Ovis aries: one gene and its partner. The protein of the gene in region 2 purifies or fractionates together with the protein of the main gene of each other region. This does not show direct contact. Links are inferred from orthologs where the notes say so. Each region holds a gene or a part of one and is shown on either strand. Other genes may lie near its edges.

What was found.
Region 1: the proteins of KRAS (region 2) and RPL18 purify together in Homo sapiens (affinity purification with mass spectrometry; 3 studies listed by BioGRID and IntAct, with this or other methods). This does not show direct contact. The link is inferred for Ovis aries from reciprocal best matches to the Homo sapiens genes KRAS and RPL18.

Annotation. Positions count from the first base shown.
Region 1 is NC_056067.1:55,014,721-55,019,169, forward strand, and holds the start of RPL18 (large ribosomal subunit protein eL18), read right to left. Parts: upstream 2,898-4,449; 5' UTR 2,865-2,897; coding exon 2,862-2,864; intron 1,689-2,861; coding exon 1,602-1,688; intron 1,241-1,601; coding exon 1,133-1,240; intron 603-1,132; coding exon 504-602; intron 45-503; coding exon 1-44. Other genes in the region: SPHK2 (sphingosine kinase 2), read left to right, coding at 4,376-4,414.
Region 2 is NC_056056.1:190,372,614-190,376,896, reverse strand, and holds the start of KRAS (GTPase KRas), read right to left. Parts: upstream 3,059-4,283; 5' UTR 2,986-3,058; exon of another isoform or gene 2,973-2,985; intron 1-2,972. UniProt on the Homo sapiens protein: Ras proteins bind GDP/GTP and possess intrinsic GTPase activity. Plays an important role in the regulation of cell proliferation.

The DNA of each region.
Region 1 (4,449 bases), on a different chromosome or scaffold from region 2:
AGGATGCGACTCCGGGCGCGGCTGCTCACTCGCAGAGCACATACCTAGGGGACAGAGGACGGGCATGGTCAGAGCCCCCTGGACGGTGACCCAGGAGCTGCTGGGACCTCTGGTCCCTTGCCCAGATCCAGCAGGAGTTCCGGCTGCTTATTCTGCCTGATGACCAACTACTGGAGGCAAACGCCTAAGCCCTAAGAATGCAGCCATTCTTACCAGTTTACATCTAGAAACCCCCGACACCACAAACCTAAGCCAGTACACAGGTTGAGAAAGCTGAAGCAGAGATACTGTGGAGCACTGTCCAGAGATAACGAGGTGGCAGAGCGAGCACCATCAGCAGGGCCCCAGAAGGGGCTTGCCCAGGGACGCCCGCCGTCCACACCATCCCCTTGCAATTCAGGCCTGATGCCTGCCTCACCCAGAGGCAAGACGAGCCTGACGGCACCAGAGCAGGACAAGGGCCTCCGCGTGACACACACACCGTGCTCCTGAGCCACACTCACCTTCAGTTTGGGAACCTCCTGGACACGAACATCGTCGGTTACAGTCCCCACGACCACAGCTGTCTTGCCCTCCCGGCCAGGAAGCTTCATCTTCCGGATCTGGGATGGGCACAGGGGAGGGGGCCGTGATATACACATTAAACAAGTCCTTTCTGGCGCTTACATCCAACCCCACTGATCCAGGCGTCCCAAGGGCCAACAGTTGTGCCTCATTTGGGCTAAACCCACCCATGCCACACCTCTCTAACTACCACAACAAGCCTACTCTCAGGTCCAGCCTGGGGAAACCTCCAAAAAATGTGCAAACAGATCTCTCCTACAGAAAGCTTTTGATACAGAGGACTTGCTCTAAGACTTCAAGCCTCAGGAAGATTTCATAAAAGACACTGTAAACTGCAACCCCACAGACACGGCAAGAAAGAAAATAAGGCTAAGCCAGTCCAACGCTCCCACTATACTGCTTCCATCGGAGGGTCAGAGTTCTGCACCCACCGCTGGATGAAGTTAAGCCAGCTAACAGCCAGGCTGCTACCAGAGAGCTCCAAGCCCACCCTTCTTCTCGAAATCGGGCTCCAGACATGACCCAGTTGCTCCCCCAGGTTGGCTAAGCCCCAGCATCAGCCCCTCACCATCCGGGAAAGGGAGAGCGGTGGCCGGTTGGTGCGGCTCATGAACAATCTCTTGAGGACAACCTGATTGAAGGTGGAGTTGGTTCGTCTGGCCAGGAACCTGTACAGCTGGAGCGGAAGGAAAATGAAGAGTGAGAACCCAGGGCAGCCGAGCCCAGCCCCTTCCTCCCAGCTTTCTAACAAAGGGGCAAACAGATGACTGAGGGCTTTCCCCCATCCCATAGAGCCCTAGAGAGAGCTGGCCGAGTCCTGCCCGGCCGGGGACCCAGAAAATCCCCCACACCACCCCCCCGGCTGTGAACAGGCCCAGAGACTGAAAAAGCTGGAATCTCCAGCAGCTCTGGGAAAGCAGCAGACTCGTGCCTGCTCTCCAGGCCCCTGCAGGGAGCCTGTGAGCGAAACCACACGGAGGCTATGAAGTTCTGTTTCTGGGGTGGCCTTGATGAGGGGTCTCTGGCCCAAACCTCACCTTGACCAACAGCCTCAGGTAAATGTCCTGGCTCTTGGGCTCCTTGCGTCGAACCTTTCGGTCCTTGTTGTGGCGGATGTCAACTCCCTGAAGGGGTGAAGGAAGGGAAGACCGTGAACCCAACTCTCATTTGGCAGATACCACATAAACATTTTCAATTATTCCTTACGTGCAAGAAACAGCTAAAGGCGCAGTCTCTGGAGACAACCAACCCCAGACCCACACTGAGAACAATCTGGGAAAATCACTTAAAACTCTCTGGGTCTCAAGTCATTTTTATTTTATTTTTTTAAAAAGGGAAAGAGTGCTAATTTTACACAGTAAGCTGTCAGCTCAGAACAATGACCTTAATGGCACCCCTATTAACTCAAATTTTTAGTTCTTTAGCAGCTATGTTTTTCAAAAATATAAGTACCATTTAACCTCTCAACGCTTATTCCCATACGTGGAGCGTTATCAGAAACAAACCAAGGACTGACTTTAAGTTATCATAAAAGCAACCAGCCTTTTTCTCAAGTACTCTGTACAGAACAATCTTAAAACCACTTTTCAAGCATTATCTTCTTGACTCCAAAAACCTGACCAGGTGCTTTCCCACTCTAGTGCTAAGAATGCTGAAGGAAGCCTATGACTATGTCATGAATCGTAAAGAACTACTTGTTAATAGCTCTTATTCATCCAGCATTTAGGTATGCAAAGACCCTTGGTGAGCACCTTCTGTGAGCACTTCTTACTCAACTCACATCTTTGAAGCAAAATTACTGGGTCTCCAAAGGATAGATGCTTTCCAGTCACAGGGAATGCAGAGGACAGGGAATTGAATCTCGAACGGAAGCCCGCCTGGCCCCAAACACGGGAACCAGCCGCTTGACGACTCCCCCTACCAGCACCCAACTTTCCAGGCTGGGGAGTGACAGAATACAGGGGCAGCACAGGCAAGAGTGGCTGTGGAACCAGTTCCTGGATCCGAATCCTGGCTCCGCCATTTACTGGCACTGTAGCCCTGGTCATACTACTTAACCTTCTTGCCCCTCAATCTGGTCACCTACGATGGAACCTATATAATAGAGAAGTACAGGAAGGGTGGGAGACTGAAGAAGCCCAGCCCTGGCCTTCGGGCTTCCAAAACAGCTCCCCACCGCGGGAGTCGCCTCCTTCGAACACCCGTGAACCCCTGCCTCCCTTTGGAACGTCCCCAGCCCGGGGCCGCAGTGGATGGCGGCGGATGGTCGAGGCCAGGACGCCGCAAAGCTAGCTCACCATGATGGCGCCTCCTCCTTAGCCAGGTCCGGAAAGAGAGAGCAGACCCGGGATGGGCGGGGAAAGCCTTCAGCGTGTGGCGCCTACCTGACATCACTTGGGCGACGCGGCGCTCTACTATGACTCACGCCTCTCTATGGTGAATCAGAAGGCCAGCTAGATGGGCGTTTCCGGAATTGAGTGGAGGAGCATCTAAAGGGGAACAAGGGCTGCGCCAAGGACGGAAGGACCCGCACGTCGGGGGCCTCTCTAGCTCTATTCACGCTGTTCTTGATAGTCTTCCGGAAGAAAAGGCTCTCGGAGCGAGAGAGATGTCGCGCGGAGCTAGTAAGAGGCGTCGCGCGGTGACGCTCTGGCCCGACGCCGACGGCCTCTCTGTGGCTCCCGGAGGACCCAGAGAGCCGAGTGTTAGAGGTGAGGAGGCGGGGCTGTCTGGCTAGTCTGGACCTCGGAAAACCTCTGACCTCAAGCTTTGGGCGTTTCCTCAGGAGGTTCTCCTCTGTCTTATTGCTTGCTGCGCCTCTCAGGTGAGGTTGCAGCTCGCGAAGTCTTACTTGAGATGTAACCCGAGATCATCTTGCTGCACTTCGATTGTGGCATCCTGTATTACCAGTTTTTAGGTTCACCTCCTCCCTCTGGCCTCAGATGGCCCTTCCCTGAACCCTGCTTGTCCCTGCCATCGGGAGGCTGCTTTTCCCAGCGGGAAAGATTCAGGTGGTCCAGCGCGTTTCAGTTTGAGGGATGTGCACGGTACTGGAGAGTAGAGGAGGCAAGCTGAGGCCCCCCGGGCTTTGAGGATGGGGGTAGAGAGGGGATGGGTAAAAAAAAAAAAAAAACCCTCCTGAAAGAGGGGAGGGGAGCCTTAGGTTCCAAGAGGAGGAGGAATGGAGACCGAGAAGGGAAGTGAACAGAAAGCGGGGGTGATGAATTGGTGACCCGGGAGAGTGAGAAGACCTAGAAAGGGGGAAGGTGGAGATCCAGAGAGGAGCAGCGACATAGAAAGATGGTGATATCGTTTGTAATCTAATTCAGTTCGTGGCTTTGTTGTTAATCCTTACTAATGGCGTGACCTTGGGCAAGTCGTGTAACTTCTTGGTGCCTTACTTTTTTATCTGGAAAAGGGGGATGGATAGTAGGCCTGGCACATAGAGTGTTTTGGAGCATTTAGTTTAAAAATTAGTTTAAAAGCTCAGGACAATGTTTGGTTCATAGTAAGTGCTTGCTAAAAATTAGTATCTATTCTTGTTACTGACTTTACTGGATGGGACCAGATGGACTGGTTGGGACAGTGATGAAACTTCTTCCTTGTGGAAGCCCTGCCTCTAGGGCCTGCAGTATTCCTATAATAGCTTGGCCTCCTTTACTTTGCCCTTCAGGCTCCTACTTACTTCTTCACAGAGCCACAGACCAAACCTGCACCATGAGCCCTGACTCCTTGCCCATACCACCAACCCATGGCCTCCGAACCAGGCCCAGCGTCTTGCTGACGTGGTAACACAGCGGAGGACTAGCAGATGAATGGACACCTTGAAGCAGAGGAGCGGCAGGACCAGGTAAGGGTCTATGTGAAAGTCAAGATAATGAAACC
Region 2 (4,283 bases):
GCATGCTTTTAATGAGAGAATTTCTAAAAGATGTTAGTTATATCACAGTAACCCACATGACTTTTACTCTCTGCTTGTCATATATCAACTCCCAACAGTAGCGATAAATATCAACAACAGGTGAGGTTTAACAGCACCAACACAGACAATATTTTTTTAGTTAGTTTCAAACTCTTTGAAATGAATGTATCTACTTTAACCTCCTTTCCCTCAATAACTACATTACTACAAATTTAAGTCATGAACTGGTAGTCAATGTTCAAGAATGTACTACACGGTAAGTAGTTCCAGATTAATGAAAGTGCAGATATACTATACAACATCATACACATGCAGCATCCCATTTACTGAAGACCAAGAATCTTCCCAGTACGCACCCCACCACCCCACCACATCCTTGCTCTGGCTCTACTTCCTGAACCCATTCCCAAAGAGCAGACAGGCCCAGCAACTGCTGTATCACAGTTCCTCATGGGCCTGCTCTGTGCCACCCAGGCTTGTCTAGGGCCACCGCCAACATGCATTATGTCCTGTTTTGCTCCCTCTTTTCATTCCTAATATTGGCATTAGCAAATGTGATAGGTGAGGATAATCACACCAAAACATATCCTCTAGTTCCCTGCCACCCCACCCCTCCAATAAAATCTGGATAGCCTAGAAGAGTAGTTCTTAAAATGTGGTATAGGAACCCACCAGGGTTCCCAAGACTTTTGGAGAGGGTCCAAGAGGTAAAACCTGGTTTGATGATAATGGTATGAGGTGATGTACCCTTCCCACTCTTATTCTTTCACAAGTATATACAGTAGAATTTTCCAGACCTGTGATCACAATACATTGACTATAGAAGCAGCTATGAGGATCCAGCTATCTTCTACGAAGCCATACAATTAGAGAGATTAGTGAAAGTGTGAAACAATGCCACTCTTCTCGCTAACTGTTGCATTTGTTTTGGAAAACAGTTACTTTTCATTAAATATTCTATTTCTGTTACCAAGTAAAGGGCTAATTATTTCTTTTTAAAATGAATTAATAGTTTAATTCTCCATTCTAATTTCTGTTGTGGCAATACTGACACACTCCACATTGGGATCTTCAGTAATTTTGAAGAGTCCTTATGGCCAGTAAGTGAGCCAGTCTAGGGGAGACTGTGGACAAATACTGGATTAGTGCTTAGCTTGCAGATACACATGTGAATTCTCAACACCACACACTTTCTGGTCTACTTTTTTATGCAGTGGTTATTTCTGAAAAAAATCTTTCACTTGGATTTCAAAAATCAAGTTTCTTTAATCCACTAGAGAGAAATGGGTTGCCATGGAAAATCACAGGCCAAAGGAGTTCTCCGTGTCCAAAGCTACATAAGCTAGTAAGGGGTGGAACTGGGACCAGAACTGAGCATTTCATTCAGGCAAAAAATGTTCATTTTTTTGACCATTAAAAAAAATGAATTATCACTTCATCTACTGTCTCTTAAAACCAGGAATGCCTGTGGACGGATACAGTCTAAGGTAAACAGTACTGCTATCAACCATTTTTGACGTCTCTAGTCCACTACACATTCGAGTCAGCATTTTGGACCTTAGTCACCTAAGAATGACATCACTCATAAGGTTGATTCTGAGATGATGACTATGAACAGAATTTTTTCCCTTTGTAATTTCTTTTGAACAATTTTTTCTTTCATTACAAATGTAACATGTATAGTAAGTAAAAACTAGAAAATGCGTTTTTGTTCTTAACCACTCGTTTTGGTGGATATCAAGATTTAAGAAGGCCAGTTTAGGACTTCACCTGCACCAATGCACATGCCTCAGAGTATTTCAGGCACTTGGCTGGCAGATTGCTACAATTAACTTCTCTTGTAGGTCGCTTTTGGAAAAAAAAAAAAAAAAAAGGCCTGGGAACCGTTTAGGAGTACTGTAATAACTCCTGGGCTGGGGGTCCAATTTGTACGCATAAGGGTAATACAGAAGGCATGGGGGAAAGGAAAACAGGCAAATTAAACTTCACGTGCAATTTTAACTACCGCTGTTCACACTCAACTAGCAGGGAAAGAGCCCTGCTTCTGCCGTGCGGGTTTGCTGTGTGTGTTTTAACTTGACAAAGCAAAGCAGACCTTCTGGGATTAACTTTTTCCTTTACACGAAGTCCAGGCTTTACGTTGCAGGGTGTTGGCCACCTGTTCTTTCACCACCATCTCTACCTCCACCACCTCCTTTGTGGCCACAGCAATGTCACAGCCCATACGGGGGGGAGGGGAGCCGTCAGGAACTCGGCTGCAGATGCATTTTTTCCAAACACAATAACCTCCATCAGTGGTCTCTAAGCACTTTCCCCTGCGCTTCCAAAAGGCGACCTCACCTCTTAACTCTTCTATCCGCCCTACACACTGAAAAAGGACCACAAGCCGTCCAGTCTGCGCTTGGGGGAGAAGTTTATACCTTCGTCCCAGAGATGAGAGATGCAGCAGAGAAGGCAGCAACCGAGGCAGCCCAGTACTAGGAAGGGAAGAAGAGGTGCGGGAGCGGAGAGGAGGGTGAGGGAAGGACGGCGAGGGGGAGGGGAGGCTGGAGCGCCGCGGGAGTAACCTCCACCGCACCCGACCGCCCAGAGGGGCGGCCCGCCCGGCCCGCGAGTTTCTCCCCGGCCGCCTCCAGCCGCGGCTCTCGGGAGGAGGAAGGAAGGGGTTCCCCGTCCAGGAAGCAGCCCCAGCGGCGGCCGCCTCCAGCCTCACCCTCCTCAGCCCCGCACCGCCCATTCCTCATTCCCCGCGTCGCCGCGTCTCCCCCTGCAGACCGCCCCCCCAACCGGCCCCGTCCGCCCGGCGGCCCGCCCGCCCAGGCCCCGCACCCGCGCCCCCTTCCCGCCCCTCCAGGGACCCCTAATTCATTCACTCGCCGCCGGCCCCGCCCGGCGCCGGCGAGGAGGGTCGGGACCCCGGCAGGAGCCGCGAGGGGTGGTCCGCTCTGTACCTCTCTCCCGCACCTGGGAGCCGCCGAGCCTCTGGCCCCCGCCGCTGCCTTCAGTGCCTGCGCCGCGCTCGCTCCCAGTCCGAAATGGCGGGGGCCGGGAGTACTGGCCGAACCGCCACCGCCACCGAAGCCGCCGCCGCCACCGCCGCCGCCGCTGTGCCTCCGCCGCCGCGGCCGCCGCCTAGGAAAATCGAGCTCCGAGCGCACCGATGAGTTCGGGGCCGGGCGGCCGCAGAGGGCAGAGCTATCGATGCGCTCGGCGCTCGATTCCTCTCCAGACGGGAGTGCGGCTGAGGGCGATGTGGGAAGAGGGAAGAGCGAGCCTGCTAGCGCCGCCGGGAAGAGGGAGGGGGGCCGGCCCGGGCCGGGGAGGGGGCGGACCAGGCCGGCGGAGGAGGAGCGGGGGCCGGCGCGGCGGAGGAAGCGGGCGGCTGGGGCCGTGGAGGGTGGGGACGCGCGGCCGGCGTAGTGGCAGAGAGGTTGGCTCTGGGAGGTGCCTCGGCGCGCGCGGGTGGGGGCGCCGGCGGATCCACGCGGGGCCCGCCCCCAGGCTCCAGCCGCAGGGCAGGCCAAGAGCCGCAGCCTCGGACCCCGGCCGGCGCGGGCTCGGTACCCCGGCGATGCCGAGGCCAGCGCCGCCCTGCTGTCGGGGCCACACGGTGGAGCTGCGAAAATCCCGCCACCCATGGGGTCGGCCTGCACTTGGGTACATTCATTTACAATCATTTATTGCAAGTGAATAAACATGCAGTCACCCAAAGTAGGAGGCAACTTGGGGGACCTCGGAAGAGACCTGGCCGCCAGTTCCCTGGCCCGGAGCTTTCTGAGCACACCTGGATGATTACCAGTCTCCACAATCGGGGGCTGAGAGCTAGCCCCAAGCCCAGACAAACGCGACAAAATCTTTCACCACTAATTAAGCGGGGGGCGGGGGGGTGGAGGGAGCGGCGGATCTGTTGTTTTCTGTTGTTATTTTTATGTATATTTCGAAGCCATCGCGGGTCACTCAAAACGGCGACCTCAGATATACCTATGGCACCTGACAGTACAAGCAGACGACAGACTATTTTTAAATAGAAGTGCCCTTAATAGTCTAGACTTGAGGAGAATCATTCAAACATTAATTAGAAGACAGATTAATCAGTTAACGTTCGGGGAGTTAGCACGTTAAACAATGAAACAATTAAACATAACTCTAGTATGCCCAGAGTCTGCGTTGATAAACTATCTATAAAGGTTTGGGGGAGTGTTTTTTTAAAATTGAGGCCTGGCAGACTGGCGCTTATACCTAGTAGGACCACCCATCTGAGT